Linked DNA regions of Rattus norvegicus. The protein of the gene in region 2 purifies or fractionates together with the protein of the main gene of each other region. This does not show direct contact. Links are inferred from orthologs where the notes say so. Each region holds a gene or a part of one and is shown on either strand. Other genes may lie near its edges.

Region 1 (7,824 bases), on a different chromosome or scaffold from region 2:
CAATACCACCTTCTGATCTCCCTAGGATACCTGGCATATATACGCTACACATACAAGCATACAAGGACAGAATATCCACACACAAAGATAGATAAATCTACATAGAGATAGAGATCCTGTCTAAAATTTTAAAAATACTAAAAGAAATAAAACCAGAATCCCCCCATAGAATGCCTATATGCCTACAGGCCAATCCAATGGTGATAGTTCCTCAGGTTTCCTCCTCCCAGGTATGTCAAGTTGGCAACCAAGATTAGCAATCACAAGGTCTCCTGGCTGGCTTGCAACTCTCTACCAAGAGTAGGCTGACCTTAGACATGCTTCTGTCTAACCTTCATCTTGCTTCTGTCTCCCATGTGCTGGGACTGCAAATCCACCATACCTGGACTTCAGTGTGAGTTAAAGGACAGGATTAGTCAGTGAGGAAAATCAGGAAATATCCCTGTCTGTGCTACAGCTTGAAACGTAATGAGCCCTGAGGGAATAAGTGGAAGGGAATTCAAGCCCATAATGTAGCTCAGTAGAAAAGTACTTTGCCTAGCATGGGCAAAGCTCTGCGTTTGACCCGTCCCCAGCACCATTCAAAGAAAAATGGAGGGGTTGGGGATTTAGCTCAGTGGTAGAGCGCTTGCCTAGCAAGTGCAAGGCCCTGGGTTCGGTCCCCAGCTCCGGAAAAAAAAAAAAAAAGAATAAAAAAAAAAAGAAAAAGAAAAATGGAATAGTCAGATTGGGATATTGAAGTGGGCACAAGGGTACATGTGGATGGCAGTAGTTCTGGCTATTGAAGGGGCTCAGTCCAGATGATCATCCCACAAATTTGAGACTGATCTGGGCAACACAGAGAGACCTTCCCTCAAATAAATCGGGCTGGTGAGATGGCTCTGGGGAAGTTTGGTTCGACATCCTGCAGCATGTTCTCTGCTCCCCACTTTCACCATGGCATTTGTGTTAACATTTCATCTAGGCTTCGCCCCACAGTTACCTGGGAACAGCCAGGTGTGCCTACCCCCTCCTCATTCTATTGCTCTTACTCTCTCTCTCCTGCTTCCTTACCCTCTTCACCCTCTCTCCACGTGCTCCTCTCCTCTCCTCTCCTCGCCTTGCCTCGCCTCTCTCCTCCCCTCCCTCTCTTCCCTCAACTCCCCTCTATTCCCTGTAAACGCTATTCTATATACTTACTATACTGTGTGTGGCTGGTACAGGGGTGGGGTGGGGGATGCCTCAGCATGGGCCTGCAGACCTTACTGAACTTCCATGAAACATATCTCTGCTCTTTCTTTTTATAAAACACATTATGTGTGCCTACACATACAAGTAAATATAACGAATGAATAAACTAAATAGTTATTTGTGTGTGGTAGTCAATATGGATTGTCAACTTGACAGGATCTAACATCACCGAGGAATCCAATCCCTGGACATGTTCTAGATCGAGGAAAGTTCTAGCTTGGATTATGTGAGGTGGAAAACCCCCACCTGACAATGAGTGGCACCATTCACCGTCCTGAATAAAACAGAGAGAATGAGCTGGGCACCAGCATTCATCTCTCTCCTCCTGATTTCCGAGGAAAAGTGACTAGATACCTCACGTTCCTATTGTCATGTAGACTGTACCTTCTATGAGCCAGAGCAAGCGTCTGGTAAACTGTTTTTGTCAAGTAGTGGGGGGGGGGGGAAGGTAACTGATACATTGTTGATACATTGTGTTTGTATCAAAGGACAAAAGTAAACATAGATTATGGCAAACATAATGTAACAAATTAAGACACTTTCTCACAGTCAGTACTCAAATGTTAGGGACTTTTTCTTTGTTTTTTTTTTTTTTTTCTTTTTTTTGGAGCTGGGGACCGAACCCAGGGCCTTGCGCTTGCTAGGCAAGCGCTCTACCACTGAGCCAAATCCCCAACCCCTCTTTCTGTGTTTTTTTTCCCCTTTTTTAAAGGGACTGAAAAGATGACAAGCGCTAGCTGCTCTTGTAGAGGATCTGGGTTCAGTTTCCAGCAGCCATATGGCAGCACCTGTAGACTCTCAAACTCCATTCAGGGGCTCATTGCTTGCTCTCTTGTAGCCTCTGCAGACACACTAGTCATCTAGTGCATAAACACATGTAGGGAAAGCACTCCTGTATAAAGACAGAAAGCTGTGCCTGGGGGCCGGCCAGTAATCTGCACACTTGAGAGATTGAGGCAGTAGGATTACTTGACCTTGAAGGCCGGTTGCACTACTGAGTTCTAGGCTCGCTCCAGAAGGTGAACCGGCTACGTGTGCTTTGAGTGTAATTGATGGGGCTGATTTTTATCATTTCAGTTCTTCACTCTGCTCCACCAGGGGGCAGACGGATCCAGCATACTAACCTCCCAACCCGCTTCTTTTCAAAGGGAATTGGGATTTGTAAACTTAAGAAGCGCAGTGCTGACAGAAAGTTCTTAGGACCTTTATCATAAACTCAAAAGCTTATGAATAGCGCCTCAGCCCTTTATCAATTTCCAGTGCCACCCCTCTCTCCACCACTGGTAAATTTCTTTCCCTCTTTCCCTAATCTTTTTAAAATTCCTCTTTCTACTTCGGTAGAAAGAGAGGAAAGACAGCTAGCCAAAGGCAATGGGAAGGGCTAGGGAGACTGGCTCTTCGAGGCCGGGGAGGCAGCGCCCGGACTGCTAGAGCTGGACAGGCCTCTCCACTAGCGAAGAGGGGTGGAGCCCGGAGCAGGGCCGCCTCTCTTCTTTTCCCGGGGCCTGGGCGGAGAGGGAGGAAAACTTCCTGGCTGGGACTCTGGCGGTTTCTGCCTGCCAACCCTCCGATCCCGCCTACCAGCGTTGGCTCTTCCCGACCCCTCCCCCGGCGCCCCCAGTGTCCGCCATGGCCAAAGCCTACGACCACCTCTTCAAGTTGCTGCTGATCGGGGACTCGGGGGTGGGCAAGACTTGTCTCATCATTCGCTTTGCAGAGGACAACTTCAACAGCACTTACATCTCCACCATCGGTGAGCCCACAGTCTGTGTACCAGACCCCAGACCCACCCTCTGCCCACCCTCATACACGGGCTCCTGAAAGACTAAGGAACCTACTTTTTTGATCCCCTTAGAGAAAGACACTAATTTTCAGTCTGTCGACCCTGCCCCAGACCCATCCCCCATAATGTCCCTGAATAACACTCAAAACTTCAAGCCTTTCTGATGATTCCAGGTAGCCCCAGTTGCTGCCACCCACCCCATTTCTTGGTACTATCTCCCTAGTCTCTTTAAATCCTCATAGGTTATTTTCATTTCCATCTGCTTCCTTCTTCAATACATCTCTTCACCTAAACTCTCTAGATTCACTCTTCACAATTTCTCTTTTCCCTGCTTCCCAGTTCTGTTGGCTTTTTACTGACCCACTGGGCTCCAAACTTCCCCCAGCACGGGTTGGCTCTACCTTCAAATCATCCTTCTAGCCCCCTTACCTCAGCAAGGTACTGCAGAGTGGCTGACTGTGCTGCCGAGTGGGGAAAGTGGAAGGGAGGGGACTCTGGGGTCTCTGAGTAAGCTTTGGCACTCAGACACTTTTAGGAGTCCCCCAAGAGACCTGGGAGATGTGCCCAGACTTCCAGTAAGAAGAGTATCCTTTCCCCTTTTCCCTCCTCCCTTCCTCTCTTTATCTTTCTTCATTCCCTCTTGACTGGGAATCTCATCTCCCCTGGTGACAAAAGGGAAAGAATCAATCTCTCTCTCTCTCTCTCTCTCTCTCTCTCTCTCTCTCTCTCTCTCTCTCTCTCTTTTCCTGTGCCCACCTAGCTCACTAGTTAATTCACATAGACTCAGTCAGCTGCCTTTCTCATTCCTCACTACCCCCAAGGGTGAGCAGGGTGGGTGGTGGACCTGAGGTGTCTGTTGGGGGAGGGGGAAAGAAGAACGGAACAGTGTGGTAGAGATGGAGGGAAAAGTTGTCAGCTGGCATGCTTTTAGCCCGCCCGAAGAGTTTCACCACCTTTCTCCAAAACGTCATAAAGTCTGAGGAAAAACAGTATGCTTACCATTGGACTAAAGCTTTGGAAAGCTCTCCTATTCACACATCCAGCCCCCACTCTCTCCCCCCATCCCTTTCACACATTCACCCATGCTTCCCTGGCTTTCACACCCTTCACCCCAGGAATTGATTTCAAGATCCGAACTGTGGAAATAGAGGGGAAGAGAATCAAACTGCAAGTCTGGTAAGTAAGCTGCCCAGCTCTCCGGACCAGACTGACCTTTGAACCCACCCTCCCCCACTTGCAACCCCCCCCTTTCAGTTCTTCTATCTTACTTTTTCTCTTTTCAGTTTAGTTTTTGTTTTTTTGGGTTTTGTTTTGTTTTGTTTTTTAGACACAGTCTCATGCAGCCCAGGATGGCCTGGAACTCACTATGTAGCTGGTAGCTGAGAAAGAAAGACCTTTATTAGCTCCTGTCTCCTGTGTTACAGGCATGTGCAGGCATGTGGCACCATGTTGGTCTTTCTGTTTTGCTTTCTTCCCTTTTTTCCCCTGGTCCAGTACATCTCCTAATTCTTCCATTTCGCTTAGTCAGCTATCAGCTGGCCCTGCGTCTCTCTTCCTGGTGTCCCACTTTCAGTTCGTTTGTGTCTTTTCCTCACCCAGAGCATTCTCTGGACTTGAGAACAAATGTCTTTTGAGCCATGATGTAGAAACAGGTTCTAAGTGGTTAAAAGATAAGTGCAGAATTACAAATTTGACTCCCAATCTATTGCTCTCTAAACTTTTCAGAGCAACCTGGGTGTAAATGCTGGGACACACTTTGAGTCCCAGTACTCCAGGAGCAGAGGCAAGTGGATCTCTGTGAGTTTGAGGTCAGCCCGGTCTACAGGGTGAGTTCTAGAACAGCCAGGGCTATGTAGAGAGACTGTATTTTAAAAACCACACAGTAATTAATAACTGTAACCTGACTATCTGAAGGAGGCTGTAGACACTCCAGGCACAGGAGCACTATGAGGCTTTCCTGAAGCATTCTTGTATACCAGACAAGCAGCAGCAGATAGTGTCTAACCCTGGTTCTGCTACTTTACTTTTGCTTGACCTTCAGTAATGACCCAGCCTCCCTCCACAAGTTTGTTTCATTTATAAAATGGGGACAAGGAGCCATGCCTCACAATGATACAGTGAGAGTTAGATAGGATCACACACACACACACACACACACACACACACACACAAAGTGATACTTAAGACAGTGCTTGGCATCTGTGAGTAAACAGGAGACATCCTGTTTCCCAGGCCTGTAATGTCTGAATAGCAACCCAACTGTCCTTCTCCCTGTCCCCCTTACCGTTTCCTGAGTCTTTTCCTTTCAGCCCCCACCTCCAGTGTTTCAAAAGCTGAATTCTTAGGAAAAGACTTCTCCCTTGAAGACTTCTTGCTTCTATCTCACTCTATGAAAACTTCTGCCTCAGGGACACAGCTGGCCAAGAACGATTCAAGACAATAACCACCGCCTATTACCGTGGAGCCATGGTATGAAGGGTGGGTCTGGACATGGGTTACAGTCATAGTTTCATGAGCACAGAGGGGTATGAGCATGCAGGGGTAAAGAAGGAGGGCACGGTGCACATTACAGAGAGCCCCATGTAGCCTGTGACTAGACTTATGGACCTGACTTGGATGGTCACTTAGAGGACAACAAAAACCTAAGTGGGAATGTGGTCCAAGGTGAACTTTACCATCCCTTAGGGCATTATCCTAGTATATGACATCACAGATGAGAAATCCTTCGAGAATATTCAGAACTGGATGAAAAGCATCAAAGAGGTAAGATGCCTCCAAAGACACGGGGGAACAAAGAAACCCCTGAAGGGCGTGGGGGTTAGGATGGGCAGGCTTCCACTTTAATGTGTATGGGTGTTGTGCCTGCGTGTATACCTGTGAACCAAGAGTCTGGTGGTGCCCTTAGAAGTCAGAAGAAGTTGGTGGACTCCTGGGACTGGAGTGACAGATGGTTGTGAGCCACCAATTGAACCCAGGTCCTCTGGAAGACCAGCTAGTGCTCCTAACAGCTGAGCCCTCTCCTGCCCCAACCCTCCTTTGTTTTTGTTTTCCTCCTGAGACAGGGTCTCCCTCTGTAGTAGCCCCAGCTGGTGTGAAACTTAACGGGTAACCCAAACAGGTCTTGAGCTCACAGAACTCCTCCTGCCTCAGCTTTCTAAGTGCAGGACTTAGAGGAAAGACCCACCTTCTGCTTGTTTTGCTGTCTCCAGAACGCGTCTGCTGGAGTGGAGCGCCTTCTGCTGGGGAACAAATGTGACATGGAAGCCAAGCGGAAGGTGCAGAGAGAGCAGGCTGAGAGGGTGAGTCAGGCCGGGCTGCTGTGGCCGAATGCCTTGCTTCTGCCCTTTATCCAGCTCTCTCCTTCCTACCTCATCCCCTACAGTTGGCCCGAGAGCACAGAATCCGATTTTTTGAGACAAGTGCCAAATCCAGTGTGAATGTGGATGAGGTGAGAGTCACTCTCCAAGAGATAAAATACTAGTAGGTTTATCCCCTCCTTCAACCCCAGCTAACCAATTTCCCCTTTAGGCTTTCAGTTCCCTGGCCCGTGACATCTTGCTCAAGACAGGAGGCCGGAGATCGGTGAGTTGGTTCTACTTGGCTGAGTCCCACAGCGTGTGTCTTCAAGAACTGAAGTGACTGGAGAGTACTGTGGTACTGCTCTCCTATGGTCTCAGCACCAAGAGATGCTGGCAGAAGGATCAGGAGTTCAAGTTCATCCTCTGCTACTCTTTCTAAACTCAGAGTGCCTGTGGAGCACACCTTTAATGCCAGCACTAGGGAGGCAGAGGCAGGCTGATCTATGAGTTCAAGGCCAGCCTAGTCTACAGTATGAATTTCAGGACTGCCAGAGCTACACAGAAAAAACAGTCGAGGAGGAGGAACAAGGCCAAGATTAACCACAATGTGGAGGTGGACAGTGGGGGATGTGGGAGAGAGTGGGGGTGAGGGTGTCTATAGACTGATCCTCCTGCCAGCCCTTCACATACCTGATCTTTCCACCTTCCCAACTCTAGGGAAACAGCAGCAAGCCCTCAAGCACTGACCTGAAAGTATCTGACAAGAAGAACAGCAACAAGTGCTCCTTGGGCTGAGGAACATTTCTTGCCTCCTATTCACCCTGAACCTGGAGGCTAGACCTGAGGGAGGTGGACTGAGGTAGACTGATGGAAAACAGAGGGGAGGAGCTGTGGTGGTGCCTGGAGGGGTGGATGACAGGGGAGGAAGGAAAGATGAAATGGGCAGGGAAAGGAGGGCGAGGAACCAAGGACGTGAAAAGTGAAGAGAAGGGGTTTGAGAAGAGAAAAAGAAGAAGGTCTCAGGTCTCGGACCGTCCAACATTAATGTCAGTATGCTGATCTCTCCATTCCTGGTTCAGGGTTCGGGTCCCGAGAGGCTGGCTCGGCCCTACTCTGAGGGTCTCTCACTCCACAGATCTTTGTTAGTATTAAAGGCCACTGTTTGGCACGAATGTTCCATTTGCATTACTTTCATTATTGTCAGAATTGCTCTTTACTCAAATCCAATTTCTGTCATGCCAGGATATTAGTTCTCCTGAATCTGGCTGGGTCCCCCTTCCTTACCCCAACTCTTTAACTGGTGATGAAAACAGCAAGGAGAAAGGGCAGCCTGAAGAATGGACATCCTTTTTCCACTATGGGTTCCTGAGGACAAGAGTGGCCGGAACCATGCCTTTAGCAATAGTAAGCCAGGATGAAGGATTTGAACCAAGCTTCAGGAAACAGCAGCACTTAATATGGTTTACCCAAGGAGATGGGAAGCATCTTTGATTCTGCTGTAGTCAAATGGTG
Region 2 (7,661 bases):
GAATAACTATGTAGAGTTTTATTGACCACCCAGGCTTTAGCTATAAGGTTCTCAGGGTTAAGAAGTAATAAGGTTCCCTAAGAACATAGCTCTGAAAAAGACCAAATCTTACCCAAACCATGGTAATACAAATGCACAGGGCAGGCTTACCTCTCCCTCAGATTTTACACCCACCACCTTGCCATTTTCCATGATGATGTCATCCACTGGTTTGTTCAGCATGTATGTTCCCCCATAGATGGCACTCAATCTGTAGTAAGAAAAATGATGGGGAAGTCTTCTCAGAAATGTGGGGACCAATTCTACTGTACCCTCCTCACCCCACCAGTGGGGTAGAGAACACAGGTATACAGAGTTTAACTCCAACTGTTTCAGGTGTCCCTCCCATAAACTTAGGGCCCATACTGACATATTCCTTCCTCTCTGGTGTTTCTGTACATATTGTTCTGCAAAGGGTCAACAGAAGGTAGCATGAAGAAGTAGCTCCACATAGAAACAGCCCAGGAGGGGTTGGGGATTAGGCTCAGTGGTAGAGCGCTTGCCTAGGAAGCGCAAGGCCCTGGGTTCGGTCCCCAGCCCCGAAAAAAAAAACAAAAACAAAAAAACAAAACAAAACAAAACAAAAACAAACCAAGAAACAGCCTAGGAGTCAAGAATAAAGAACTCTCTGTAAGAGATTCAAACTCCAGGGAAGCCCAGACACAAGGTTCCGGGGTCCTAGACTTAGTCCTGGTACTACCAAGAGCTGGGGGAAGCTATGTTCATGGTGACCTACTTCTTTACTTTGTATTTCCACCTACTTTTAAAATTATATATATATATACACACACACACATACACACATGTGTGTGTTTTGTTTACGTGTATATCTGTACACCACATGCATGCCTGGTGCTTATGAAGGCCAGATGAAGGTTATGAATTCCCTAAAACTGGAATTATAGATGGTTGTGAACTACCATGTATATTGGTATTGGAATTGAACCCGGGTCCTTGGTGTAAACAAGTGCTCTTATCTGCTGAGCCATCTCTCCAACCTCTACTCTGCACTTTAATGCACTAGGGCTATGCCCCCATTACCCAGGGATACAGTAATATACATGAAAATTAGATGGGAAAGTAGGAGATGCCACAAAAATATTCAAGGTAATTTCCATTCTTGGCCTTGTCTTACCAGTAATGCTAGCTGAAAAAGACAGATCCTCACCTGGCAAAGCCCTGAGGCAGCTCACCCAGGCCATAGAGTGGGTACAAATATGGGCTCTTGCCATACCGGGCCAGGGACTCACTGTACAACTTGATGCGGTTAATAGTCTCAAGACATGGCTGATCCAGGTAACTACGGAAAAAGAACCAGGGAATATGCTTTGATAGCAGCACCCTTGTTCATTTACAAAGACACCAGCCAGCCTTCCCACCACCCTTTGTGACCTGGCAAAGATGTGGGTCAAATGGAGAGGGATGGAAATGGAACAGGTGAGCCTGGAGCTGAGTACAAGTGACATGCAGGATGGGCAGTAGGTACAATAGGCAGGTGTGGAGAGGGTGTGAGCCAGACAAGGGGCTCCCATCACCAGCCAGCTTTCCCCTCACTCATCAGTGCGGTAGAGCGCCAGGGCATGGCCAGTGAAATCAATGACATCTTGGCCCAGGTCAAACTTCCGGTAGACATCACGCATGCTGGTGGTCTGCGGGTCAACACCCTCAAAGGTTTTGGGGTCATTCTCATCAAAGTTTGCCACAAACACCAAAAATTTTCGGAAGCGTCGTTTTTCAAACATGCCCATCAGATCTGAAAGAAAGGTATTGAAAAGATCATTTGCATTACTCGGACATAGAGCTCCTCTTTCTAACAGAGCAGGCCAGGAAAATTGGTGCCTTGGCTCCCACCAGAACTCTCTTATGCAACACTGCTCCACCTTTCTTGGTCTCAATTTTCCTATTTGTAGGAAGAGACCCTCCCAGCTCCACTTAGGGCAAGTAGGCCCTTTGACAAAAAAGAATCCTCTTCTGTGAACTTCCTTTCTGGCAACTTGCCAAGATTGGTAGCACTGTCCAATAAAGAAACTATAAAGCAAGGGGCCTCTAGGACTACACGGAGCTAAGATTAGGTTTATGCAAAGAGGAGCCTTTTGCCCAACTGTCCTGAAAACAGTTTGTCCCCTCCAGCCCCATTCTTCTGCTTAAGGAGACTCATACTCACTAGAAGCCAAGGCCTCAGTCTCAGTAGATGGCACTTTGTAGATCTTGCCCCCTTTGTATACAAAGCTGCCCTCTACCACCTTGAAGTCCAGATAACGAGTCACTTCTGTATACAGTAGCATCTTTACCAGCTGACCTGTGTCCAAAGGGAGTAAGGGTGTGTTTTCCTTCAAAAAACTCTCAGTAGTGTGACTGATCATATTCTGGAGATTGAACACCCCATACCCCATCTTCCTACTCACCACCCCCATCGCCCTTTTTAATCTCCCTCACCATTGGCCATGAGGAATTTGGGGATCAAGTCAACATTCCAGTCTCGGCCCCGGCCCATTGATTCAGGGGGCCCTTCCAGCAACTGAAAGCGCTTATATAGCTGTAAGCAGGACAGGAAAGAAAGACAAATGTCAAGGACTAGCTTCCCTTCCCCACTCTCCTGCCTGGGACCTGAGAACTACTTCCCCCCTTTACACCTATGTGGGGGACTAACAAGGGGTCTGGGTCTAAGCCCAAGTCTGAGAATAAGAAATCTTACCTCCTCAAGGGGTGTGATAGAAGAGCTCTCACCCCCATAGTAGGGGTTTCGGTCCATGTGCAACACCTTCTTTCCATTCACAGACATGATGCCAGACAGGATGCATTCCTGGGGAAAGAGTGGCATTGGCAGCTATACCTCATCTACCCTCCAATGAGCATCTCTGATTTGTCCCTGCCTCATGCCCACTACAAAATTCATAATGCAAAGTCCTACCTCTTTCCAGTGCCTAAAACTGGGGAGGGGAAGATAGCTTCATATGATGTTTCCTTTATAACCCTGCTGAGTAAACTACTAGAGCATTAAAGGAGGCTTGGGGGACAGAGCTTACAGTTCTTCTAGCATCAACAAGCCAAAAGTATCTACCTGCTCTGAGCTCACAAAAAGACAAGACAATGAGTCTACAGAAGAAACAATTCAAAGGCTCTTTGAAAGATAAGGCCAAGTCCTTGAAATCCCAGGCTCCACCCTGCTCCTCCTTTTAAGGGCAGGAGCCCCTGACTCTCTTCTGGCTGTGCATCCACTGCTCTAGGCTCAGGGTTCAAACGAAAAAAGATTTGTGCGGGGGGGGGGGGGGGCGACGGGGACACCGGACACTCTCACCAGTCACTGTCACTAACCCAAGGACAAAGGCTGAGGATATATATTCACTCTGAGGTCTCCATGGGAAACCGAATTGGGGTAGAGGGAAAGCGGTCACTAACACCCCCTCCCTACACACCACACACACACACACACACACACACACACACACACACACACTCCCTCCCTCCCTCCCTCCCGCTGTTTCTGGAACATTCCATGGGTTCCCTATCCCTCCCAAAAGGCAGAGAGGCAGGATGAGGGCCCACCCTTGAAAAGCCCCCATATCTTTATCTTCATACTCCATGCCCTAGTGTGATCACAAGATGGTAAAAGATGCTAATCAATTACTTGAGCAGGTGATGAGTGCAGGCGAAGGGTGGGGTTGGATGCAACGGGTCCAGTGTGTGTGAGGGGGGTGAGTTTTCCACCTCAGTGACACAGATAGGGAAGGTGAGGGGTCCGTGGTTAAGATCTAGGGTGCTGGAATACTGGCCAAAGTGGGGCCCTCTACGAAGAATTGCGAACTGGCATCAACACTCTAGGATGAGGTAGTGGGGTGGGCATGGGCTTTTCCAGGGCTGGAGGCAGGAACGCAATGATGGGAGGATGGGTCGGGTAACCCGGACTCTGCATCACTGCGGGGTGGGGGATGGCATGATGCAGGGCTACGAGCGCCTGAGGTGGCACTTACGGTAAGACCTGTCCCCAGCACAATCACATCGTATTCCTCATCCATGGTCAGGCCTTGGTACCAGCGCCCGCTCTTCTTCTCCTCCTCCTCCTTCACCACAGCAGCTGCTACCAATGCCTCTACTGTTGCTGTTGCTGCTGCTGCTGCTGCTGCTGCCGCTGCCGCTGCCGCCGCACTGACCCAAAGATGGCGTCTATCGGTCGTCTCCCGATCCCTACGCAGCGTCAATGAGTCCCTCTCCCTCCTCTGGCCAAGCCACGCCCAACCAAAGCCACCATTTCCTCGCTTGTTTTCTAGGAGGGGTTCTGGCACCTGGGTCCCAGCACCAGAATGATTGCAGGGGTTAACGCGGCTCTCCGTGAGCCCAGAGAAATACGGGGCGGGGCAGGCCGGCGGCAGGTGCTACGTCTAGCGAAGGATCCTTGCGCGGGAGCTGCGCGCGCCCCGCCCCGCCCCGCGCGCTCCCGTACCGCCCCTGGGAGAAACAGAAAGGCATGGAAGCCCTGCAGTGTGTTGTTGCAGCTGGCCCTAGCGCTGGGAGAGCTGCCATTGTCAGGATTCCTCCCATGGCGAGGAAAAGTAACAAGCCTCTTCTCCGGCTTGTTAAGAGTATCGGCTTACTGAAGACCCTCCCACCCTTCCTCTCTCATTTCTTGCCTGACAGGACTACATCTGAGCAGTTCTTCCCTTCAGTCAAGAACAAATCTACTTGTCCAGTGTAGAAATAAGTGGCTGGAGCCCAACACATGGCAACACGTCTTTATTTTATTAGGAATGAAACAACAGAGCACACCCCCCCCACACACACACACACATACTTCTGGCTTCTTGACAGGCAATCCTTGTGAGAACAAACCAGAAACCCAATGAGTACACTTTGTTCTCCAGTTCTCGTGGTGATTTCTTCCTTCTCAGGTCACAGAAATAAACCCCAGTGTACCGCTCATTCTTAACCCCCACCCGCCAAAAAAAAAAAAAAACCCATAAAGGCTAAGCTGGACAGTTAACTAGCCTTTCCACACCTCTCAAATTCAAGGGACCTCAAGTTCATGGCTATTGCTGGAAAGCTCCATAAAGCTTGGGGAGTGAGTATTTACTACACAAAAGCACTATAAACAGCACGAAATAATAGCAGAGGGGCAAGAATAAATAAGGAGAAAGGGAAAGGGGGGCACCCTAGAATTAAGGTCCCTTCCCCTCTTGATGAAGCCTGGAAGATTTATCTATGAAGAATAATACACTTTGTTGGTAGAAGTGGGGGATAGCCTCAGGGAAGTCCCTGTCCAGGAAAGAGGAAGCAAGACAGGCTGAGGGTGGTGTATGTAGGGTTCATGCTATAGTAGGAAGAGGACAAACCTTTCCATCCACTGTGTCACAAAATGGAAACCTAGACACCAATACTCCCTCAATCCCTCTCTGGTATATGTCACACAATCTGGGTCAAAGTGATGGTGGGGCCCTTGTGGTCATCAAAGCGATCCATGGTCTTTAGGCTGAGTATCATGTGCAGACCATAGGTGAATATGAAAAGCATGAAGAGGGTGGTGAGCAGCCCCATCCAGATGCCCGGAGAGAAGAAGCCAGCACAGTCGCTAGCATAGGAGAACTGTTCACCAGTCACATTGAAGGCTTGGATCTAGGAGATACATAGACATGGATCAGATGGGACCACAAGGTTCTACAAACAGTTCAGTGCTGGGATTCTGGAATTAATGAATAGTTATACCTTCAGAGACTATACAAGGATGGAACTCTCTCGGCTACATGCTCAAACCATGCAGAGATTCTCTGGGCCCTTTTTCCCGCCCCTTATTGCCACCAGCTTGGGGGCCCATCACCCTTTCAATACCTGGAAGTTATGAAGAGTCATCTGCCAGAGGGAGGGCACGTTGGTCACAAGGAGACTGCCTTTCTTGCTCAGACTGCTGACGTACTCACAGTGGAAAGAATAGATACTAGGTCCTGTGACTTGGGAAACATTGAAATGGGCAACCGAGCCATTGCTGTGGATTTCAAGTCGTTCCATGGTAAACCAATATCGGGCAGATACTGGGTAGAAGCGACTAGCCAGAATGAACCTGGGAGGTGGGGGTTGCAGAGATGTCAGATGAACAAAATAGAGTGAAGACATACCAGCCCAGCCAAACTTCAGCCAACAGAACTTACTTGAATGTCACTGTTGCACCAAAGAGTGGTTCATAGGTCAGTGAAAGCCTATGGGACAAGGCACAGGAGTACTGTCAGGCTCTAGAAGAACCTTAAGAAGATCCTGATCAGGTTGGCTCCAACCTAAGCAACCCTAGATCCATCCTTATAGCCAGCCAGCTGTCAATACAGTGTCCCCATTTACCATATGGGAAAACTAAGGCTCCAGTCATAACCAAATTAGGAGCAGCTGGAGCACAATTAGGTCTTACATCTCCAGCTTAGGATTCCTTACTCTGGTTTTCCTGAGTCCTGTAGGCCTCCTTCTTGGGATCATTTAGCTGCCAGCTGAGATTTCAAGGGTAGAAGACCTAGAACTGGTTTTAACAGTTGGTCTGGTATTTGCCTACATGCAGTCCAAGGGGTTGGGTTCAAAGAAGGGCCAGGGTCCCAAAGGATTGTGTGGTGTTCAGGACCCAACAACCAAGACATAAAAGCATGAGAAAGCCAAACTCCTAAGAGGATCCCTCTCCAGTAACATCCCAGCAACATCACCTGGGATACTGTGATATCCATCTCCTTGGTGAACACACCACACAAAGACCTTTCTCACCCCAAACATATATACCTATATACCTACACACACACACACACACACACACACATCCATCCCACATCCTTGTCCTGTACTGGGCTCACAGTAGCAGGAAAACCATATATGACAGGATAACCTTTTTTTCCCTTACATGGCAAAGGAGTCATTCCAGAAGGAGCCGGTCAAGTTAAGATTCTCCACACCAAAGGTGAGGGAGGTCAAGTCTTTCCATTCGTCTTTGTATGCCACAGAGAAGTTTTGTGCCCAAAACAGGATCCTTGGGGCAGTGTCATTGTAACTCACAGGAGGATGGATCGCAGGTGATGCCACCTGAGTCTGAAGCAGCTGGCGACCTAGACCCCCAGCCACCATGGCTACATCACGGGCCACCTGCAGAAACATTCAACAAGCCTTCTCTCAACAGCCCTAAAAACAAAACCTAATCCACTGGATTGGTATTCCTTCCACACTGGGTACCCTGTATACCATCTGAAAGTCCCTAGCCCTGATATTCCATCTCCCTAAACTAATAATCACACTGTCCAAGTGGCATAAACAAATTGGAAAAAAGACACTATGGATGGAGGAAGCAATCCTCTGTCCATTAATCCCCCAAACTGGAGGCTCCTGAGAGATCCTGTCTATGGCATACCCCTCCATCGCCAGTCACACTCACCACAATGCCTCTCACCCCTATCCCCCAGGGCCACCACTAGAAGAATACATACTCTAGAAGGGCGGACTGCAGTAAGAGCCGCGGTGTAAGGAACATCTTCAGACTCAAGTGTGCTCAGTACCTGTCCGATGACCTCATCTGAAGAGTGACAAGAGAACAGAGAGCCAAGTCATTGGGTAGCTTGCTTAAAGAAATACTACCCATTGTCTGCTTCAGAGACCTTCTAGACTATGAG
Region 3 (7,690 bases), on a different chromosome or scaffold from region 2:
GCAAGCAAACCACAAACTATTCAGAACCAAGATTTGCAGTTTAGACTCAAAACATTCCCTAAAATCATCCAGATGGTCTAGTCACAAATTGGAGAACAGTACCAAACATGTACCCAACAACACACTCAGGGAGACAGTACCTCTGCACCTACCCTCTAGTTAACGACTCTAGTCAGAGATAAGGCGGACACACTAAATCAGTACACCACTCATCTTCGCTAGACTGTTCTTTTACTTTCTTCTTCCCTTTTTTTTAAAATGCTTCCCAGGCCAGCCACCAACTTGTGATCTTCTTTCCTCTACTTCCTAAATGCTAGAAGTTCCTTGTCCATACTACTCTGGACTGAGTTAATACAGAGATTAAAAACTGCCTTTAAAAAGGGCATTTAATGCATTCATCTAGAAATTCAAGACCTCAGCTACCAGAAAGAAAGCTGTTATCTTGCAGCTCTTACTTGCAAGGTGGTTAAAGCACCTGGAGATTCAGACTGTGGTATATGTTTACTTTATCTGAGCAAATTTAAAAAGCATGATGTCATCTGCACTAATCTAACTTACCCTAACACAACACATCCACACGCAGACAGGTTCCACGCTAGGATGGCTCAGCTTTCTACTTCCTGACTTCACACTACGTTTACAAGCGTACTCACTGCATTCTGACTGTGGCAAAACTACTGACATAACAAGCTTCAGTGTCAGCTCAGGAAAGTGCCTTGTAACAGTTATAGCTGACACCAAAGATAAAAACTATTATCAAAGCGGGAACTTTTAAGTTGCAAAATGTTAAGGATTGATAGAAATAATTGGTAGAAAAGTATCATCACTCTTCCAGCAACCTGAGACCATGAATTATCTAAAGTCACCGAGAACCTAACATCCAAAGTACTTTTTTCAGTAAATATTGAAATATAATCAATCACCATAAGCCCTTTAAAAATATAATTTACTTTTAGCATCACTACAATCAAATTCTAGACCATTCACAGGACCCTCAGAAGAGAGAGTCTGTGCTGCCATGCCCTTGCGATCTTCCTGCCTATTCTAGGTCAGTATAGAGAATCACCTGTGGCCTTTTAACTTACATCTGATATGTATCAGTCATCCTTTTTACAGCTCAAAAACAGTTCACTGTGTGGATATGCCACCTGATTGATGTGTATCCATTCCTTTAGCTGATGGACATTTCTGCTGTTTCCATATGAAGTGCTTTTGATCACTTGAATACACATAAATTTTACCACAATATTACTATACTTAAAATATATATTTAAAAGCAAAATAAACTGCATGTTAAGCACACATCATATTTCAGAGTATTGGTAATGGACGGGACCTTTAATTAAGTCATCAGGAATGCAGTAATAACTCATAATGAGGCAGTTCTGTACCACAGCCAGGTTTATAATCTCCCCACAAGACCATCTACTGATCATGTACCAACTGCCCATACAATGAAGAAAATTAAAACTTACCTTACTATTTGCTGAAAATCTACCGAGGCTTTATGTATATAATTCTATCAGTCCCTATAAATATTCTAACGCGGCATTTTCAAGAGTGTGTCAGAGTGAGAGGAGTCACACAGCAAGGGGCTCCTTCCCTGTGCACAGCTCAGGCTTCTTATGCTCAGCCTCTCTGACTCTTCAAAATGAGCCAGCACAAAGCTTTTTCTCAGTCTCCAGCTCTCACTTGGTCCCACTCACTGTCTCTGTCCCCTCAGGAGGGAGGAGCTCTTCTTAGGAGTGCTTTGGCTGACTCTGCATCATGATGAGAGGCGACCAGTTCATTTTTATCTCACAGCAGAGAAAGACCTGTTCAGGTCTAGTAAGGGGCAGTTTGGCTACATGCTCCAAAGTCAAACCTTTATATTCCTGTTTTGTGACCTCATATCAAATGCTCTGAGTTTCTAGAAAACACCATGTTGTCATGAATTGAATCTTGATGTAGGGTTTTAAGTCACTTCAATTCGTGGTAGAAAAGTGAATTTAAGTAAATGAGTAATATTCAAACATTCATTATACTCCAACACCAAAATGAACCAGTCTACTAAGTGTCTCATGCCTCACTGCTCCTATTCACAGAGGTGTTGATTTTAACACACACCGAATAGAATTCCTTAGCACTAGCTTGCCTTCCTGAAGTGTAAGTTTCATATAAAGCCGCCTCTCTTCAGACAGCTAACTCTGCAGTCTGTGTTCTTCTTTTAGGCCCCATTATCCCATGGTCTTTCTTTCACCAACTTCTAGAGAAGATCAGCATGTTAAAAAGTTTTTCAAGCTTTAGAGCAGAAGTCATAAAACCCCAAATAAATTAATTTACGGATATCCAATTACAAACTAAAGGAGACCCAAATCAATAAAAAAGAAACCATACTGCCCAAAGTAGTGGTTTACTTCAAAGCAGGATGTCATCTTACCTGGTGATGTCATACACCATGAGCGCACCTGCAGCTCCTCTATAGTAGCTCCGTGTAACAGCTCTGAACCTCTCCTGTCCTGCTGTATCCCAAATCTGCAGTTTGATTTTTTGGCCACTAACTTCAATTATTCTTGTACCAAATTCAACACCAATTGTGTGAGGACAATCAGCCATAACTGTTGGAGAAAAGAAAATAGCCAAATTTCAGAAAACTTGTGTGGAACACAGCACAAAAATGCCATGTTCTCAGTTGTATTTTGCTTATCAGTTACAACATACTGACCTTTTTCTCCACCACCCTCAATAGGAATTGTATTCTAAACTTTAGCCAGTGATAAAGACAGAAAAAATTCTATTAATTATTTCAAAATTGATTATAGTGAAAAAATGATACATACAGAAAAAGTGTCTAAGATTTTGGGGGTGGGAAGCTTGAGAGATGTCACAGTCGTGAAGAACATTATTTGCTGTCCTTCCAGAGGACCAGAGTGTAGTTTCCTGTACCACCTACACTGAACAATTCCCAACTGCCTATAACTTTAAGCTCCAGGGAATCCAACACACTCTTCTGGCCTCTGTGTGTACTAGCCACATGTAACATACACATTCATATATACCAACATGCATGATCATGCACACACACACAGACACACAGACACACACACACACACACACACACACACACACACACAAACAAGTTGATAAAAAAATACATTTAAAGTAAAAGAAAAGATAGGGTTAAATTTAACATTTTACACTTTTAAAAATTAATTCGTACTATGTAGTGGTGGCTCACAATGTTTAACCCCAGCACTTTGGAGGCAGAGGCAGGTGGATCTCAGTGAGTACCAGAACAGTCAGGACTACACAGAGAAATCCTGTCTCAAAAAAACAAAATAAATAAATCCAAACAAGCTGCCATGATGGGGCACACCTTTAATCCCAGCATTCAGGAGATAGATGTCCTTGGGTTTGAGGACAACTCAGTCTACACAGTCAAGTCCAGGTCAGCCACAGCTACACAGTGAGACCCTGTCTTTATTTATATATAAGTAAATAAGTATAACCAACATGAATATAACCATACATCATGAATTTTTTTAAAAGACAATTTAATTGGCAATAATACTGTATTTTATCTGCACCTATTAGAAAATCATGGGTCTAGAGAAATGATTCCACAGTTAAAAGTGTATACTGATCCTACAGACTTCTCGAGTTTGGTTCCCAGCAGCACATCAAGATGGCTCACAACTACCTGTAAGTCACTCCAATTCCTGGGGATCTGTTGTTTCTGGCCTCTAAGGCCCTTGCACTCACATGTACATAATCCTACAAGCACACACATAAACACACATACTTAAAAATAAATCTTTTAAAACAAACTGTAGAAAAATAATCATGGCACTTTAAAAACCCAAGTGTAAATATGGAGACAGGTTATAATCGGATGCATAAAATACACTAAAAATAGTGCTTTTTAAAACGTAGAGAACATGAGGATAAAGTAAGCTACTTGTCTTTTTTACCTTTCATATTGAACTTACACTTTTTTTCTGTAAATTGATGAAGCAAGCAAGATTTTCCTACTCCCATATCCCCTGTGTAAAGAAAGCAGACGGCAGTTATACTTCTCAGCCTTCATGCACAGCATCACTGTATGCAATAACTGCTGCGTAACAGAACATCATGCACATCACACTGCAGCCCCTGCATCTTCCTCCTCAAAAGGCAAACTGAGCACTTCTAACTTTAGCAGGATAGACTAGTAAACAACCAACAAGGTGAATAGTACTTGTAATCTGAACTGTTTCCAAATGGGTAGCCCAAGTGCATTCATTGGCCTATCCAAACGAACTATCACAAAAGCAAACGGAAATAAATAACAAATTAAAAATTGGAAGCTTGGCTCACTATGTCTCGTTTTATCTCTACATTACAGTAGATGCCATCTCACAAAGCTATACAAACTTGACATGGCCTTTCTTGTCTTTTCTTATTTACAGGTTGTGTTTTATTTTCCATTGTGGAGATCAAACACAAGTCCACAGCCAGGATAAGCTTGTAAGAGCTTTTCTACTGGTCTGCAACTCAGCCTACCATCTGGGCTTTTCCAGTTATTTACAACCACTCATGGATAAATGCATTAAGACAATCTGAGCAAGGTCTTGACATTTAAAAAGAAACAAAACTCTGTGTGTGTGTGTGTGTGTGTGTGTGTGTGTGTGTGTGTGTGTGTTTCACGACCAATTCTGAATCGGTGCTCTCTCTCTATTTTGGAATTCAAGAGGACCTGAAACTTTTAGGACATTGGGATATTTCAGCACAAGCAGGAAATTAATTTTATAACCCCAACACTAACATGTTCGCAGGTGGCCCTGAAGAACAACCACCATCATTTCACTACCCGGGGCCATGATGGAAAAGGCATGTGTGTCTTCATCAAAAAGCTTTAGTTCTGAAGTCATCAAAAGCATGCACGTCTGCAGTAGTATGTTCAGGTACTGATGTATAAATGTTCCATGTGTTAGCTTTCTTTGGAGGACAAGCATACACGTTAAGTAAACTTACCAATAATAATATACTTAAAGATGTAAGAGTAGTTGTACGGTGCAGTTGCCATGGTGGCACTGAAAACAAAGAAAACTATGTTAATTCAGCAAACGTTCACAAGTTATAGAAACCTATGACTGCCGCCCTTTCCAAACACATACACACACACACACACACACACAAATACATACACATCATTTAAAAATATCATACATATTACGAAAACACACTGACTATACAAACAAAATTTTGATCTAAGTCAGTAAAATTCCCAACCTGATCACAAACTCTCTTTTTTTTTTGGTTTTTTTTTTTTGTTTTTTTGTTGTTGTTGTTTTTCTTTTTTTTGGAGCTGGGGACCGAACCCAGGGCCTTGCGCTTGCTAGGCAAGTGCTCTACCACTGAGCTAAATCCCCAACCCTCACAACTCTCTTGAATGTTACTTTAATATTCTCAAGTGATCCACAAAAATATGAAAAAATTGTTTCAAAACACTCCAAATTTTTACTCGAGGAAATATACGAAAAAAGGAGTAATATCAACAAAAAGTTATTCTGGAAATCTTTCAAAGAAGAAAATTTTTATAAATTTAAGTCAAACATCATTAGATAGCTCCTTCTCCCTTTAAGGTTCTTTTCCTTGTTAACTGATCAGTAAGTTGTGATATCAAAGTAATCACTAACATAAATATAACTTTCTCTTCTAGTTTAAATCAACACTTAGCAAAGAATCTAACGTCTAGAACAATCATGTATCCAAATCAAATTGACATCAAAATTAGATTTTATCACACAAAATTGTTGTTCCTATAGATTTTTTAAAAAAGAACATAATTAGCAATTTCGTATGACTCAACTTAATACATTAAAAGCACATGAATTGAGTTCTATACACTATTCTAGGAGAAAAAAATGCTATAAAGCTGTACTCACACTTATGAAATCCAAAAGCTTACTATCAAGATGCTTCCAAGGATCACAGCCTACTGCTGTAGGTAGGTTTAACCTAAGAAAAATCCCGGGAGAAGCCGTGGCAGGACAAGATGGCAGGTGATGTTAAGATTCTGCTCTGTGTTACAGGTTGTTATTAATGTTCTCAAGGGATGGCTGGTACCGGGCTTTGTATGTTTAAGTGGGCAATTATATCTTACCAATTGGATCTAAAAAAAAAAAAAAAAAAAAAAAAGAAAAATCCCAATTTCTTTCCTAAGCTTCCAATTTCACAAGCACAATGACACATACGTTAGTCCTGTCTCATACTCTGGAGACTGAAGAACTGTTTTAACCCAGGATTTTGAGGTCAGTCTGGACAAAACAGAGACCTATGTCTCAACAACAACAATCTTCCCAAGCAAGCCACATGCTGTATAAATGTTTCATGTGCTAGCTTTCTCTGGAGGACAAGCATACATGTTGAATAAACTTACCAATAATTGCATAATTAAATAATTAAGAGTAGCTGTGTCTCGATGTATCTAACACTGTGCTAGGTTCTAGAGAGACATATCCTAATACCGCTATCATCTAATGAATTTATTTTTCACTAGTTTTCAACTAAGGAAAGACAAAAATCATACATACCAAGACTTATTAACTGTCCAAAAATGTGTGCTTTCTAGGGTTTTAATGAATATTTTGTGATAACTTATGCTATATTTCAAATAAAATGTCAACATAATAAAACTGAATCTATAGGAAGAACATCTGCAATAAAAAAAAATCAAAGAAAAAAAATCCTTTAATACAGAAAACTAAAGAGCACATCACATAATTGCAGTCACCTTACTTTGCTGTACAGACAACAATCAATACAAGTCTATGCCTTGCTCCCAATGTACCCAGCATGTTGTGACACATTTATAATCAGTCCTCCAACATTGCAGAAAACTCCCTTAACCAGTTCTTTCAGGAGGAGTTTTTCTAGTTGGATCAGCTGATATCCTAGACTTGGTAACTCTTCTCTTACCTCTTTTTCAGCTACCACTGGCACTCAAACTTGGCCTTAAGCTAGGCAGTGAAGTGGCACACGCCTTTAATCTCAGCACTCTGAGGAGACAGAGGCAGGTGGACCTCTGGGTTTAAGGCCAGTCTGGTTTACAGAGTGAGTTCCAGGGCAGCCAGGGCTACACAGAGAAAAAAAAACCCTGTCCCAAGCAACAAGCAAGCAAACCCACAACAACTTGGCCTCAAGGTTAAACTTGATCTAATTGTTTAACTAACTTTTAAGATTAAATTCCTAATACATTAATTTCTCTTCTGTATGGAAACAGTACATTCTTTTCCTCAAATTAGTTTCTAACTCCTAACTCCTTTCCAAAGTAGTCATTTGTAAACTAGTTTTCTTGCACTCTTCCCCTTGATTTTCCTATTTTCTTCCCATCTTTTGACTAAAATTTTTTGTATATACTTTGTTTCCTATTTTATTATGTTAAAATCCAGCACTAAGGAGGCATACTCAGGCAGATCTCTGGGAGTTTGAGGTCAGCCTACTCCTGTATAGTGAGTTCCAGGACAGCAAGAGAGACCTTGTGATGGACAGATGGATGGATGGATGGATGGATGGATGGATGGATGGATGGATGGATGGACCGGTGGACAGACGGATGGGCAGGCAGGTGACAAACAAGTAATTACAGGGCTTTGTGGTGTATTTTAGTGTTGAATACATGCTTAGCATGTACAAGGCCCTGGCTTCAAGCCTCAACACACAACACCCA
Region 4 (7,627 bases), on a different chromosome or scaffold from region 2:
CTGGACAAACTTGGCTACCACCCCATGAGTGCCTGGGCTTCGGAACCTGCCAATGGAGCTCCCGGCTTCCCTGTGACATCCACACAGTGGTTCTGGTTGGCCAGAACACCTACCAGCCTCCTGTCCTCCAGCCTCCACCACCCCAAAGTGGCTACATCAGGCAAGCTCAGAATGAAAGGGCAGCGCACATTCACTTCTGTGTAGTGGCTCGAAGCGTGCGCCACATAGCCCCAGTCAGACTTGAATTCACTGTAATGGAGGACGACCTGAATCCCACTCTTCTGCCTCTACCTCCCAAATACTGGGGTCACAGGTACGGTGGCCCAGGGCTTCATGCTTATGAAGCTAACACTACCAACTGAACTACAATCCTAGCCTTTAATGGGGACACTTGCAGCCCCTTGAGTAGAAATGCAAATGACTTCAGTTTCTTTGAAAAGTAATTTTGCAATACCGAGAAAACTTTAAAAACCCCAGACTCTGTGACCTAATATCCTCACGTCTGTGAAACTGCTACACAAGAACAAACACAATGTATCCAGCAATGAAGCATGACTTAAAACAAAGCAGCCAAAAGCCATGTAACCTCCTATGCACAGGAGCAAAAGTGACCTGTCCCATGGCTCCTGTCCACATTTCTTCCACTCTATGTCCAACGGAAATGCCTTCAAAGGTACCAAGTCACCCGAGGACCCCATAAACGCTGTCACTCAAATCAAAACTTAAGCATACGTGCCTATTATGAGAGAAACCCAGAGCCTGACTCCAGTTCTCAAAGATGGCTGTTCCACCCCTGGCCCTCAAGTAGCGGAGGCTGCAAACCACTCCTGCACACTGGGCTGTACAGTTGTGTTTCTAACCCGACCGTGAAGAACGGGTACAGCTGAGCCCTACTTCCCAAGGAGGCCCTGGGGAGGACGCCCTGCTGCCGAGCACCTGTAGCTCAGCCCTCTGCTTACAGCGCTTGCTTCGTACCACTTCCTCATTGTTCCGCCATGAGGCTTCCTGCTAAGCCCAAAGACAGCCAGGCTCCTGCACTGATCCACACCGTGTTCTGCCTGATACTGACACTCCATGGGCCCTGTGGTGCCTCTGCTTCCTCCTGGAGCCTTCTAAGTCCAGCTTACTCAGCTAAAAGCTCATTCTAGCCACTGAGCAATGAGTGAGTGCTGTAGGTCCGAGACCTCCCTTCCCTCACCCTATGCATTCATTCAGAGCCATGAGCTGAGCCCAGCACTTAATAGCTACCAACTAAACCCCTCTCCACAGGCCGACAGTCTCAGTGACAGCCATGCTATGCCATGTTACTACAGCAGCGTCACCAATGAAGCAGCTCTCAAACTTCAGGACAGCAGAATCCTTTCCCCAACTTAGACAGGGTTTGGCTGGCCTGGAACTCTCAATGTAGACCAAACTGGCTTCAGACTCTCAAAGCCACTTGCTTGTGCTGGGATTTAATATGCGCAATACCACATCTGGCCGCTGCCGCTGCCACCACCTCCACCACCACCACCTCCACCACCACCACTACCACCATCATCATCACCACCATCACCGCCACCATCATCATCACCATCACTATCAACCATCACCACCACCATCACCACCCATCACCACTATCACCACCACCATCATCACTACCACCACCATCACCACTACCACCACCATCACCACTACCACCATCACCACTACCACCATCACCACCACCATCACCACTACCACCATCACCACCACCATCACCACCACCACCACCATCATCATCACCACCACCATCACCACTGCCACCACCATCACTAACAATATCACCACCACCATCATCACCACCACCATCACCACCATCATCAATTATCCAAATCTCCCGTATCTGTAGTAGACAGGGGAGAGAGAGGTACCATCTGCAGTGACAGCAAGGACTTGAAATCCTTGGCTGCAGAAAAACCACTAGTCACAACATGGTCTGCCGCCATGGACTTGATACAAACCTCCAACTCTGTTCTTCCTGAGAGGAACAGAAACCAAGACCTGCCACCTCCCAAATATTCCAGCTGCTGTCGACCCTACAGATGGGCCCAGGGCCGATCTCCAGCACAGCAACACTTTCTTCTAGCCACCGAGCTCTAAGGTCTGCTATCCTGCAAGGACACAGGCCCCAGGGACTTGATGCCTCTTGGCAGGAAGGGATGCCACCGCTTACCATCAACACACACACACACACACACACACACACACACACACACACACACACACACACAAAGAGACAGACACACACACACACCCCGCGTGCTGCTTTGGACCTTCCGCAGCTCTGCCCCACTGCTTTCCTCTGAGGCAACAGATCTAGCCAGCCTGCTATAAACTCAAGTAAAGTAATATCAACTTTAATTCTGCCTCAGTGGCCACATTCTCGTGTACCTGCAGACAGACCACGCCCACCTCCCAGCTCCCGTCTACTCATGGGTTAAGAGAGGGATTTTACCTAGTCTAAAGGCACACCAGCCTCAGGCTGTGAGAATGAGGGTAACTGGCATCCGTGGGTACAAACCAAAAGCCAATGCGGGGCAGCTGAGAGGATAAAGAAAGATGCCCATGCCCAGGGAACACATTCCAGAAGTGTGTACAATGTGGCTGAGTGAGTGAGACGGAGAGCCGCCAGGGTCCAGTGAGGCCCAGTGCCTGCAGCCCAACACGGCCTGCTCTTGGGGTTAGCACACATGTGCACAGCTGCAGGGGCTGTGTGACTCTGGGCAGACAAGGCTTCTCCTCTGAGCCTTGGTTTCCTTATCTGACAAACCACAGAGACCAGGGGTGAGAATCAGATAACAGTGTCTGAGAATCAGTTGACACACCTTCAGAAGCACACTCAAGGGGCCAAGGCAGCCAGCCGGGCAGTGACATCCCGCTCCCTGCTCCCCTGGCTACCATCTCCGGGTTCCTAAATGCTCAGCTTCATGTGTAAGCTCAGTGGCAGGAGAAATCCAACAGCACAGTGTCCCCCTCTTCTCTGTAACCCAGGCCTACATGCTCACGCTGACCCTTGGAGCCAGACCTTACAGACACTGACCACTGAGTCCTCTCCCACACCCGACTTCTGAGCAGAAACCATCACTAGCCCTGCAAGGTGCACCATAAGAAAGCAGGCCCTGGGTTGAACAAAAGAGAGAAAGCCAGCAAGCTACAACTTCCTGCTGAGTTTAGCCTTTCGAGTTTTGGATATTAAAACTGGCCGTGTCTTGGGGAGGGATAAAGACCTCTGACCACAGCGGGCTGACTTTAGCTCCGAAAGGAGAGAGATCACCGTAATGTCAGCAAATCCTCAGAGCCCAGAGAAACCCCATTAGCTGGGTCCAAGTTCAAATCTACATGGCTTGCCTGGTTTCCTTTCATTCAAACCACAACGGGTCAGTCTTCCACTGTTTCAACTCCACTCCCAGCCGTAGCTACTATTCTACCTCCTCAGTGAGGCCTTCCCCTTCCAGGACACCTCCCCTCCACCCCCCAGCAACCCCTGAGACTTCAGCCATCTCCCACCAGAACCAAACCACGAGCCACATCCCAACCCAGCTTCTCCCATGAGACCAAAATCCACTCACCACTTACTTCCATGACCTATCTATGACAGTGTCACCCAACAAGCCTACATCCTGAGTCTCAGGGGACTCACTGCTCTATTTCCTTAACAATCCACAGGCATTATCACCAAGTTGGCTGTCTCAAGTCCCATGACCCACACTCAAGTCTAATCTATAAACTTAGCTGCTCCCCAGCCTCCTTCCAAATATCACATCATCCTGGCACCTCAGCTAAGCGCCCACAAACATCCTGGGCTGGCCTCTCTGAACTCACCGTCACCTCACAGACCTGGTCACCTGCCACACTCCAAACACCTCTAAAATGCTTCATCCTTGGCCAGAAACCAGTGTGACTGACCAAATGCACTTAAGCACTGGGTACCAGAAACTGCTCTACAAATCAGAGATGGATCAGTACTGAGAGAGAGACAGAGAGAGAGAGAGAGAGACAGAGAGAGACAGAGAGACAGAGAGAGACAGAGAGACAGAGAGAGACAGAGTGTGTGTGTGTGTGTGTGTGTGCGCGCGCGCGCGCGCACAAAGCACTTAAAATATCGGATGAAGCACCCAGGTAAGATAACAGCAAACACTGTCCACCCACTGTGTGCCAAGCACATAGTGATGTGTGTGCTCACTGGCTGCTAACATCAGCTCTGTCAGGCAAATCTACTACTCCATTCTACAGATGAGAACTGAACCATGCAGAGACTTAGTGACGATTCTGCAGGAATGTGCTTATGGCCGTACCTGCCGCACCTCATCCAAGTCCACAGCAACCCGGAGAGACAAGTCCTGGAAATACCCATTTCACAGAAGGCTGAGTCTTCACAGGGAGACTCACGCTGACAACACCAACAGTTAGTTACTTGGAGGTTACTTTACACCGGGCCAGGCGCTAAGCACTTTCCCTACTTTAGCTCACTGAATACTCAACACCGCTCAGCTTAACAAGTCCCCACTTCTCAGATGCAGGAACTGAGGCTCAGAAAGGCGACGCAACTTGCCCAAGGTCACAGAGTGAAAAAGCTTGCCTTCCCGGGACTCGAACCCGGGTCTCTCCAACTCCAGCGATCGCGCGACTTGACCAAGGTCACACGTGAGGCAGGAGCAAGCGCCGGGGCGTGCAGCCCGCGCGCTCCGCGCCCCAACCCGCCCAGGAGCAGCCCGGAGCCCCTCGCTGCGGCCCCGGGGCCTGCGGCCGCCCAGCTCCGCGCCTCCCGCCCCGCGCGGGCCGCGCCTCCTCGCCCGCCCGCCCGCCCGCCCCGAGGCCCCCGCGGGCCGCGCCCGGCAGGGCCCGCACCGCCTCCGGCCCCTGCGGCCCTCACCGCTGTCGCCGATGATGAGCAGCTTGAAGAGGTGGTCGTAGTCCCGGGCCATGGCGGGCGGGGGCGGCGCGCGCGCGCGGGCGGGCGGGGTCGGTACTGGCCTCGGGATCCGCAGCTCCCTCCCGGCTGCTCCGGCAGCGGCGGATCCACTTCCCGAACAAACAGCCGGAACTGACAGAAACACCTCCCTCCGCTCCCCCCACCTCCTCCTCCTCCTCCTCAGCAGCCGCCGCCGGTGCCGCCGCCACCCTCCTTCCCGCCCCGCCCCACTACTGCGCAGGCGCGGCGGCTGGACCCGCCTCTGCGCAGCCGCAGTCCCGGTCGGCCGCGCCCTCTCCGCGCACGCGCAGTGCGCACGCTCCCCGGACGAGGTCCGAACGAGCGAGCGAGTGCGGACGCTACGGCCCTCGGGAGAACCGAGCCGTTTAGCAGGCCTGATGGAAGAGAGACGATGGCCGGCTGCGGGGCTGAGGTCTGGAGGTCAGCACTGGGCGGAACTCGCCTCCGAGCACCACGACTCCAGGCGCCCGACCTCCTGGCGGAACGGGTAGCGGTTCCGGATTCGGATCCGTGGGGTGCACCCTGGTCGCCTGCGCCTCCTCTCCTTCTGCCTCAGTTTCCCGGGGCGCCGTTACGCCGTACGCAGCGCGGAGTCAGCCCCAGTACGAGCGGAAGCTCACCTGCCGGTCCCCGTGCGCTGCCACTGCCACGCTCCCTGCAAGTTTGCAGGGATTGCCCCATCCCTGTGATTTTGGCTTTTTCCAGACAAGTTCTCAAGTCGCCCAGGATGGCACCTGACTCTCCGAGTAGCCGAAGATAACCATAAACTTCTGATCCTACCTGTACCTCCTGAGTCCCGTTTTATGTGGTGCTGAGACTCGAACCCAGGGTTTCGCAGATGCTAGGCAGGCTCCCTGCGAGCCGAGCTCCACCCACCCAGCCTCCTCCTCACTACTTCCTACTACCTTCCAGAGCTTTCCAGTCAAGCACCTGTTGGGATACTGCTGCTTCCTAATCCTTCCCCATAAGAAACAGTGTTGGTGTTTAAAACAAACAAACAAAAAAATACAGATGGTTACAGAATTCAAAGTTGACATTAGTTTTCCTCTAGAACCAGTCCCCGTAGTAACCCCATTAAAGTTTCTTGGACAGTCGTGAAACACTTACTAGTTGAATGGATACGTGCTTTCCCATAAACTTCTAGGAGTATCTAAGCACACATGTGCCTCGTGCGTGCGTTCACACCGCCATCAATCATTTAACCGCCTCACCACGTGGTGCTCCGGCTGATGGTTGTACTATTATTCCTTCACGACTCTGCTGCTCTGGTAGATTTATGCGGTTCATAATTTTCTTGTTATTCAGGGAATTGCAAGCAAAGTCCTTGAACAGCACACAGAGTGTCTGATGTAGGCCTTGAGCTCTTTTTGCCTGGTGATGTCATAAACACGAGCCTAGATTCCTAAGGTACTGGCTGAAAAGAGACCCTGTGTTCTAGATTGGAAACTCCTGGGTCGGGCAGGTTCATGCCATTCCTTTGATTGGCAGTTTGATGGTCCAGCAGTTAAGAGCACTGGCTGATCCTCCAGAGGAACCTGGTTAAACCCTCAGCCCCCACACGGTGCCTGACAAGAGTCTGTAACTCCAGTCTCAGAACTGATGCCATCCTCCGGCCTTGGCCGACACTTCAGACATGTGGCATATAGACACACACTCAGACTAACATGCACATACATCAAATAAAAACCTCAAAACATTTTAGAGGAGACAGCAAGAAGCCTTAAGGTTAGGGTAGACGTCAGATAAGCACTCCAAGTCTTCCTGGCCCAGGAAGTATCCTGTCAGGTCATCTCCATGTTTGCTCCAAGGTTGAAGAGATGGCATTTTCAAGGGCAACTATGAAATCCACCCCTGAGAAGCTTTCAGGCAGTCTCAGAGCCTGTTTCTTCAGAATACTGTAAATGTGAGGTTGTGTGCGGTCAGTCACAGTGACCAGTGTGAGTCCTTGTGCAAGGATTCGTTCATCTCTGAGCCGTTTCCTATAGGGGACTTCCAGGATTCACAGCTGTGGGACACTCTAGGGAGCGAAGCAGAGTCCGCCCTAGGAAGATGAGATTCCCAGTTCTGCCCCAAACCCACTGGGCATTTTATTCTGTAACTATTTAATGGTGTCTTACCATTTACTATGCCCCGTGTCATAGAGGATAGTGAACTTTCTCCTTCCAAGAATTTACAGACTCAACAGAGCTCAGACACAATCATGATGCAATACAGCAGAGAGAATGACTGTCAGATACCCTGCCTAGACCTCAGAGGACCCGGACTGCCTCTGTTGGCAAGAGGGAAGGGGAGAGCCCGTCATGAAGATTTCATGGCGACACCAGAAGAGAGGTGCGCTTGGAATGTCGGTTGTCTAAAGAGACAGCGGCTGTCACACCCTGTGAGAATCCTCAATTTTGGCTTGGAGGGGGAATTCCCTGAGGCCAGGGTATGCTTCTGGAATCCCAAAATGAGTCTCCCAGCACATGCTGTGAAAACGCCATCTAACGTTCACCCAGCAGCCGTCAGTGAAGAACTCTTTCCAAAAAGCACATGTGCTGTGTGCCGAGTATGAACTGACGCAGGCCGATCAGGATGGCCCGCAGATGGGGGCCTTGTCCCCACGTCCTGAGGTACAGCTTTTCCTTCCTACCTCAGAGCTAAACTAGGGAGATCCCAAGCAGAAGAGCAGTA

What was found.
Region 1: the proteins of Gdi1 (region 2) and Rab13 purify together in Homo sapiens (affinity purification with mass spectrometry; 4 studies listed by BioGRID and IntAct, counting the BioPlex papers as one, with this or other methods). This does not show direct contact. The link is inferred for Rattus norvegicus from reciprocal best matches to the Homo sapiens genes GDI1 and RAB13.
Region 3: the proteins of Gdi1 (region 2) and Rab14 purify together in Homo sapiens (affinity purification with mass spectrometry; 3 studies listed by BioGRID and IntAct, counting the BioPlex papers as one, with this or other methods). This does not show direct contact. The link is inferred for Rattus norvegicus from reciprocal best matches to the Homo sapiens genes GDI1 and RAB14.
Region 4: the proteins of Gdi1 (region 2) and Rab35 purify together in Homo sapiens (affinity purification with mass spectrometry; 3 studies listed by BioGRID and IntAct, counting the BioPlex papers as one, with this or other methods). This does not show direct contact. The link is inferred for Rattus norvegicus from reciprocal best matches to the Homo sapiens genes GDI1 and RAB35.

The regions. Positions count from the first base shown.
Region 1 is NC_086020.1:177,970,196-177,978,019, forward strand, and holds Rab13 (ras-related protein Rab-13), read left to right. Parts: upstream 1-2,774; 5' UTR 2,775-2,859; coding exon 2,860-2,983; intron 2,984-4,128; coding exon 4,129-4,189; intron 4,190-5,322; exon of another isoform or gene 5,323-5,421; coding exon 5,422-5,482; intron 5,483-5,698; coding exon 5,699-5,776; intron 5,777-6,222; coding exon 6,223-6,312; intron 6,313-6,366; exon of another isoform or gene 6,367-6,395; coding exon 6,396-6,461; intron 6,462-6,541; coding exon 6,542-6,595; intron 6,596-7,029; coding exon 7,030-7,107; 3' UTR 7,108-7,170; downstream 7,171-7,824.
Region 2 is NC_086039.1:157,235,418-157,243,078, reverse strand, and holds the start of Gdi1 (rab GDP dissociation inhibitor alpha), read right to left. Parts: upstream 4,180-7,661; 5' UTR 4,056-4,179; coding exon 4,011-4,055; intron 2,843-4,010; coding exon 2,735-2,842; intron 2,576-2,734; coding exon 2,476-2,575; intron 2,339-2,475; coding exon 2,204-2,338; intron 1,793-2,203; coding exon 1,594-1,792; intron 1,340-1,593; coding exon 1,208-1,339; intron 251-1,207; coding exon 151-250; intron 1-150. Other genes in the region: Atp6ap1 (V-type proton ATPase subunit S1 precursor), read right to left, coding at 5,437-5,646, 5,860-6,088, 6,177-6,224, 6,902-7,140, 7,479-7,564. UniProt on the Homo sapiens protein: Regulates the GDP/GTP exchange reaction of most Rab proteins by inhibiting the dissociation of GDP from them, and the subsequent binding of GTP to them. Promotes the dissociation of GDP-bound Rab proteins from the membrane and inhibits their activation.
Region 3 is NC_086021.1:38,906,635-38,914,324, forward strand, and holds the start of Rab14 (ras-related protein Rab-14), read right to left. Parts: upstream 5,051-7,690; 5' UTR 5,045-5,050; coding exon 4,993-5,044; intron 4,023-4,992; coding exon 3,969-4,022; intron 2,598-3,968; coding exon 2,420-2,597; intron 1-2,419.
Region 4 is NC_086030.1:46,636,895-46,644,521, forward strand, and holds the start of Rab35 (ras-related protein Rab-35), read right to left. Parts: upstream 5,051-7,627; 5' UTR 4,947-5,050; coding exon 4,895-4,946; intron 1-4,894. UniProt on the Homo sapiens protein: The small GTPases Rab are key regulators of intracellular membrane trafficking, from the formation of transport vesicles to their fusion with membranes.